Drosophila melanogaster: one gene and its partner. The protein of the gene in region 2 interacts with the protein of the main gene of each other region in a pairwise test. Each region holds a gene or a part of one and is shown on either strand. Other genes may lie near its edges.

Region 1 (4,760 bases), on a different chromosome or scaffold from region 2:
TTAAACGCTATACTAAAAATTTATTTTAAGTTCATTTAAAAATAATATAAAAATTGAACTATTCATTTTAATGCTTGTTGATTTAAAAAAAAAACCGAATATTACCGAAAATTAAAGGATTTATTTTTTAGCTAATATGAGGGCATATGCACTTGAAGTCGTTGTGCCCCAGCAAAATGACCTACGAGTTTTGTGTAGGTGAGAACGTGATCGGCTGTAGTTTTCTCTTTTGCGGTTGGAGCCTCACTGCCACACAAACATATGTCTGCTTAGTAATGCCCGCATGTGTGTGTGTGGGTATTTCTGCTGGTTTACCTGTTGCTTTTCAATTGTTTTACATTTTGCCAGAAAAATGATTTTCCACAAATGCCAGAACATACGGCACTGTCTCGAGATTCCACCGAAATGGTTTTGGCCAATTAAAATTACTGCAACAGGTGGGGGAAGTGCGCTCACACACATGTAACCTGCTTATAGCTATATGTATGCTTGTAATCTCGACCTGACGTAAAAACAAAGACACAGCATTGCCGTTGTTTTTGTTATTAGCCGCACAAGACGAAGAAGCAGAAGCAGCTTAGAGAAAAATTTATTTATTTTCGTAATACGTAATTTCTGGGGCTGTTTGGCCGCTTCAAATACAAATTGCAATAAAACTGGTTCCCCAAGTCGACCATATAATAATGTACCAGGATTTGATTATTGTTGTCGTTATTCGGTGTCCAATTGTTGCTTTCGATGCTGCAGTGGTGTTGTTATTGTTTGGTGGCATGCCTTGCATTTTTCTAGTACACATTTTCCTTTTCCATTTTGCCACATTTTAACTGCAGTCCCTTCCCCTTTAACCGCCCCTCTCTCTTCACTAACCAAAATAAAACCGGCTTGACATAAAGGAGTGTGCGTGATGAGGGTATGTGTGTGTGTGGGGCCACTGCAATTGTAGTTTCAGTTTGGATGCAGGCACTGTGGAATGCAAAAGCCGTTTAGCAAAATAAATTGGCGTGAAAGCCTGAAAACCACAAATAGCTTATGGTACTTAATATTTAATAGCTGTTCGGTTTCTAGGTAAACGATATTAAAGGCTGTAAATGAGGTTGAAACCCTTAAACGGGAATAAACAGCTTTTTAAAGATCAAGTAAGTTTCTGTACGGAAAACTTTACTAATAAGATCATTTCAGGCATTCCTCCTGGCCCAGGGAATTTTAACTTTGTTTGGCCCACAGTACTCTCCTTGTCGTTTCGCTGCATCTGGGCATACGTACAATTTTCCCACACCCGCTCTCTGTCACCGCGATCTCTCTCTCTTTATCTCTTCGCCGGACTTTTAAGCTCCTGTTTCGGCTTTTCTCTCCGCTTAATATTGGCCATTTACAGTTAGAGGCCGCTAGCTGCGCCGCCGACAGCAGATATTGCAGCTATTATTTTCTCTCCCGCTGTAATTTTATTACCAGTTTCCTTTCCGCCGGCCAAAAGGAAGACTCCGAACGGCTTTTCATTGAGAGATTTTCCGTGGAGCAACAGGGTGACCTATGCAACAAAGGGCAACGCTATTTTTGGGCTTTTCAAACTGCAACCTTGCTAGTTAAACCGCTTCCACTCATTAAAACTACATTGAATGTATTCATAAGCTTGCAACAAACTAATGAAGTCATATGTGGATTTTTAAAAGGTTTGTTTAACGACATTGTGTTTCTTGGAAGAAATGTCTACGAGACTTGGCTTTATACATAAGTACATAGATATTTTTCGTACTACGGAGAACCTAGAAGGGCTCAGCGAAACTGGCACCAACAACATGGTTCAATGTGCACTTATTGAGGGGGCGTTCGATCTGCCCCCCATTTGCAAGTAATAATGGCTTTTAAAAACTCGCTATTGCATTTTGATCGGGGTCTCTTTTGAATTGTTATCGTCGCCAAGGGGCGTTGACTGCGTATGCTCGTTGGGCGCGCTGAGGGGAGTCCTGAGGGGGCGTGACTTCGAATGCTTGTTTCGTCGCACATGACGTTATCTTGGCGTCGTTTTCATCATCAAAGCAATAGAGTTCAAAGGCCCAATTAGCCAAATAAAATGCATGAAACCAGAAAATACGTTTCTCACTCATTGTTTTATAAGGCGAAATGTCATTAAATGGTATTGTAAATATTTGTGCGCTGCAATAAAATGGCAGCCGAAGCCAGTTATTCTTGTTGCTTTGCAGCTCGTAGGAACGTGCTGGTATTTTTCAAGCGCAATCGCTCGCTCAGTTTTTCGGGCTTTTCAGCTTTTTCAGAGCCTGGGTGCGGAGCCGGTGTCATCAGCATAATTTACGTGCCGATGCCCGCCCCGCCGAGAGTCACGTTTCCACCTCACGCTCCTTATCACATGTCGACGAGCACGGGGAACACTGTAGGAAATCAAAAGTGGGGAGTACTGTCAAAGTGCCACAAAATGCATATACATATGTAAATAAGAAACTCAAAGCTGCAAATCAAACAAGCAACGCGATTCGGATTAATTCCAATGCCTAAATTATAGCCAGCAATGTAATGTAGCAATATTGAGAGAATATCATATTATCCTAACTATAGATATAAACATAAAATTCTAATTTCAGCTTTATTATGCTTCCCATAAGTAAACATTGACCTTCTTAATATACAATAACTGTCAAATTATCATTACAAGATAATTCAGAAGACAAATATTTTGTTTTCTGGGATCGCGGATTATCAAGTTGGCGGGTTCATTTAGCGCGTGTTGCCTGTGCTTCCAAATGAGCAGCGCTTATCTCGTTTACCTCTTGATCATCGCTTATCAGCGGGGCCCTGAACGCCCCCATAAAGGCACGACACACACACATACATACACAAGTGGCACGCACACGGACATGCACACATTTCGAGTAATTCAATTATTTTGTGTATTATTTTCAATGTGCAACAAAAGCGACAATAAAATAACAAGCCAGCGGCAATATACAGCCAGCAGCCGACTTATCACCGCGCCGTCGCTGTTGTTGCAATGCTTGTTGCTGCTGATGTTGTCGTCGATTTCAAACTGCTGGCACTGACTGGCACTGGCACACAGCTATGGCAATTATTCTGTGTTCGCTTCAGTCGCCCCGCCCGTTGATTTTGATAGAGCCAGAGCCCCGAGACTTCCGCTGGTCGCGGGAAGCGGAGGGAAGCGAGGCGGGGTCGGAAAACCGCGGGGTCGGCTGCTGGAAAAATCCAAGGAAAGTTCGGCGAAAGTCGTTGCCTATCAATGATGGGCGGTCTCAAGGGCTGTACATACATACAAACATACATATATTTTGATAGCTTACAATATACAAATGTACATATGCGAATTACACAAAATGTCATTTACATTTTACGCCCATTTTACTTCCCATTTGCATGCTCCTCTTAAAGGATTTTGACATATAACTTTATGATTGAACTAAGCTAAGAACTAGAATGGTATGTAATATTTTCCTTGGGTTCTAACAAAAGTCGCAGGAATAGAACTTCCTGCTCACGTCCAAGCAAACCAATCTCAGCGTTTTTAAGACAAATATGCATTATAAATTCATCAATCCTTCATTATTTATTTATTTAAGATAATATAACCGAGGCCATCGACTATGTACCTATATACTAATATACATCATTTGATTGAACTAAGATTAAAATTTTCGTAGACTGAAAGGGTATACTAGATTCGTTGAAATGTACATATACATATGTAAGTTAAAGAAGGGTGGAACCGTCAGCTGGACGTCGGCGGTAAACAGCGGACACGGCGGGATACATCGGAGTTTAAAATTCAACAGAAAGAAAATAATTATAAAACGTATAAAAAATGACTAACAAAACCCGGATTTGAAATTCAATACGATATTTTAAATATAGTGCCCGATTTCCGATAATTGAATGTTGGAGTTGTCATCTTGACCGATAAGCCGATAAGTGGAACACTTGGGGTGCTGCCAGATGGTTAGATATAGTTTAAACTAATTTATATCAAACATAGACTTGTAAGGTTAAGATTACAAGGTTATTGGCTTGTAAAGTATTCTTGCTTTCTTGTATAATAAGTTATCAATTTTAAAAAATTCGAAATCATTGTCGTTAAGTTTTGTGGGAGCTCGCCCTTTGCAACATCTGGCAACTTTGCCGTCATATGTTTGACAGTTTGACATGCACACAGTTTTGGAGTAGCTCAAAATATTTTCGCTATCGTTTTTTTTTAATAATTTCGTGTGTGAAACGGTGATATTATTGATTTTTGTTGCATTTTATGCATCGTCCAGCTGAAGCACATCGAAATCCGCCAAGGGACTCCACGGCTTGCGCACAGGGAGGCAGTGAAAAAGTTTTGTTTACCTTTTTTCGATATCCCAGAGTTCTGCGATTTCGGTGTCGCTGTGTGCGTGTGCGAGCGCCCATGTCACCTGTGTGTGTGTGCGTGCGAGCTGGTGTGCAAAAATGAAAATGCATTCTCAATAAAGCGAAATAAATGTGCCAACCGCTAAGAGAGTAGTGCATTCTAAAATTGGTTGTTAAAGCTGTGCACATGGAAAATGTGCCCGATATTTCCACCAGCGCTTCGTCCTCTTCTACTTCTAATTCAACTTCCACACTGAAACTCCAAAGTAAGTTAGCCCCAACTCCCCCTACCCCTATCACCCATCCCTCTTCTACATGCATATATGTAAGTTATATCTGTGCTGTAGCCCACGTATCTCCCGATTTTCGACCTGATAGTCGTGCTCTCCTCGATATTGGTTTTCCAA
Region 2 (2,802 bases):
CGGCCATCCCATAGCTCTGGCGGGTGGTGGGCGCCAACTGGCTGGTGGCGAACTGATGGGCCACCGACTGCTGCTGGTCACGGAGCACGTCCTGCTGCTGCTGCTGCATGAAGCCCATGTGCTGTTGCGTGGAGTAGAAGTCTCCACTTGCTCCCCCTCCCAGACTGTTGGAGCGCAAAGGCGCTGATCCGATCACTCCTCCCGGGATGACTCCAACTGGACCTCCTCTTACTGGACCTCCGGGCACAATGGATCCGGATGCAAGGCGCTCGGGCTGCAGGCCATTGTTGCTGAACTGCGGCCGACGGTAGGCGAAGCGGCCAGCTGCGTTCTGTGCTGCCACGCCCGCCGGAGCGCCTCCCACATCGGCGGGAGCAGCTATCTGGGGGGTTTGGGGTTGAATCTGATGAGCCGGTGATGTTAGGCCGCCGGATACATCGGGATAGTAGTGGTAGAGCTTCTGCAGCAGGTGCTGCTGCTGCTGCTCGAACTCGGCTCGTTGGCGCTGATAATCGAGGAAGGCGGCGTGCATCTGGTCCGCATAGCTGGGCATGTTGACCACGCCACCGCTAACGCCCACTCCTGGTCCGGATGCAGCTGCTACCTGCGGCGATGTGGCGGCCAGGAGTTGCTGCTGCTGCTGCGCCAGGAGCTGCTGTTGCTGCTGTTGCTGCTGTTGCTGCTGTTGCTGCTGTTGCTGCTGTTGCTGCTGTTGCTGCTGCTGGAGCAGCGAGTTGGGCGTGACCTTCAGCTTACCATCGGCCCGGAATCCTGGCTGCGAGTACACGGCAGGATACTGCTGTCCCGACGGCGAGAATCCACCAAATTGCGTGGGAGTTTGCTGCATAGGTTAGAGGAATAAACGGATGAGAATGGAAGCTAAACCAGGACAATTTTATCCTTATTCTGAACTGGCTTAAATGATATTTAGATGAGTGTCTAATGTGCGCAAGTAGTAGGCCGTTTTCGATGTGTAACTTTTGATTTCGTTTTGTAAAATATTCATACAATTGAGCTTATAACACGCTTTCCTTTACTCACGGATGAAAGGCCACGCCCGTGATTCTTGATAATTGAGTGCTGGGAACCCAGGCATCCCTTTCCCCACTGTCCCTCCGCGTCAGCCAATCGACTGGCGTTGCCCCCACGAACTTTGCTGGATCTCATGATTCCCTGTTGTTCCGTTTGTCGCGATGTAAACTTAAAAGTTTTGACGAGAGGTTGTGTAGCTCGAGTGTGGATAGCCAAAAATTGATTTTCAAATTCAGATTTTGATACAATTTGTTTACGAAGTCTGTAGCGGGAAAAATTGTAAAACGAACCGATCTGAACCGACTGAGCGAGCAAGTGATACTGACTGGATAGCTCAACCAGTCCGGTGACACCTGACAGCTGTCGTCGGGCCAATCCGAAAGCCTACTGTGATCTCTACTAGCCATCGGTGCCATGGTGTGGATTCAAATCGATATGTATCGAAGGGAATCACGCGATTCGATGGCTTAAAAAGCGCGGATGCAATGCCGCAACCTTACAGTTAGAAACGATGAATCGCCATCAGCTGGCACTTCTCCTGGTTGTCGCGGGTCTGGCCATGATTGCGGCCAGGCCAGGTCCACAGAATCCGCTAGAGTCGCTGGGCATGGGCGCCATGTCTCTGGCCGGAAATATAGCGGAGGCAGTTCAGAGTGGCGCCGCCATCTCCCGCGACGTCGACATTGACAATCCCCTGATGTCCGTGCACTCGAAAACGGCCGTTGGCTATGGAGATGCCATACGTCCCATTGCCACCGATTCATCCGAGGAGGATCGTCGTCGGAAGCGAAGGCGGCGGAGCCTGCATCGCCTCAAACGCGCTCCTTGCTTCTGGAAAATGAGCGCTGCCGCCACCACAGCGGCGTCCGCCGACGATGACGTGGAGGCCAGACGGAGACGAGCTCAAAAGCGGGCCGCCAACAATGCCTCCCGATCCCGAGTGAGTCCCAAGACCACTGGCAAAAAGAACAAGAAGTTGGTGCGACGACGACGGCAGGAGGAGAAGGGCATGGAAGTGACACAGAATATGGACGGAGCGGATCCCTTGGGCCTGGGCACCAGAATCAAGGCCATGTGGCTTTCGTTTGTGAACAACGTAGCGGATGTGGTGCAGCAGGTGCGCCAGAAGATCACCGAAACGGCCAACTCCACGGCGTAGAATCACCGAGCTCCCTGACGACCACCATCGAGTGTATTTTTTTTGTTTGTTTATAAGTGCAATAAAATCAACTGAAAACCGGAAACTGTGTTGAGCGGCATGTTTTCTGGGTTGGCCAAAAACATTACGATTACGTCTTCATTCAAATATGTACTATAGATTACATCCATTTTAAGACCCCATCATATTATCAATGTAGTAGCCAATTAAGGCCAATCACCTTTGGTAAAAGGTGACCCCAAACGGCATTAGAGTCAAAAAAAACGTGTACTCCGTCTTTAAACTACAAATGCTTGTGAGCTCAACTAAACATATCACCAAGGTGACCCAAAACTTGGAATCCGGTTACCATTTTAAAGTGGCATACCTTTAAGAACTCAACCTTATTTGTTGCTCTTTAAAAAGGTCACCGCCGAAGAGTCACCCCCAATCGATAAAGATTCCTCAGGCAGAGGCAATAAAGCAAAAAGCGAACTGTCATTTCTGAGCAATCCGATCGAAAGTGGTCCGAGGAGAAGGCCATTGGGGTCACCACAGCAACTCGACTACTGAAGGCTGTCCAGATGGGAGATACGGAAACGAGCCGAGTCACGATGAGCCAACGGTCAGTG

What was found. Proteins that work in one complex are often made in the same cells at the same time.
Region 1: the proteins of CG6290 (region 2) and ced-6 interact in a two-hybrid assay, tested with the Drosophila melanogaster proteins (one large-scale study listed by BioGRID).

Annotation. Positions count from the first base shown.
Region 1 is NT_033778.4:9,441,893-9,446,652, forward strand, and holds the start of ced-6 (ced-6), read right to left. Parts: upstream 3,046-4,760; 5' UTR 2,792-3,045; coding exon 2,781-2,791; intron 1-2,780. Other genes in the region: Camta (Calmodulin-binding transcription activator), read left to right, coding at 4,541-4,619. UniProt on the Drosophila melanogaster protein: Plays a role in axon pruning in larval mushroom body neurons during metamorphosis. Plays a role in the infiltration of glial cell processes into mushroom body lobes and the subsequent engulfment of degenerating axon branches.
Region 2 is NC_004354.4:18,435,961-18,438,762, forward strand, and holds CG6290 (uncharacterized protein), read left to right. Parts: upstream 1-1,529; 5' UTR 1,530-1,543; coding exon 1,544-2,191; 3' UTR 2,192-2,273; downstream 2,274-2,802. Other genes in the region: CG32548 (uncharacterized protein), read right to left, coding at 1-841.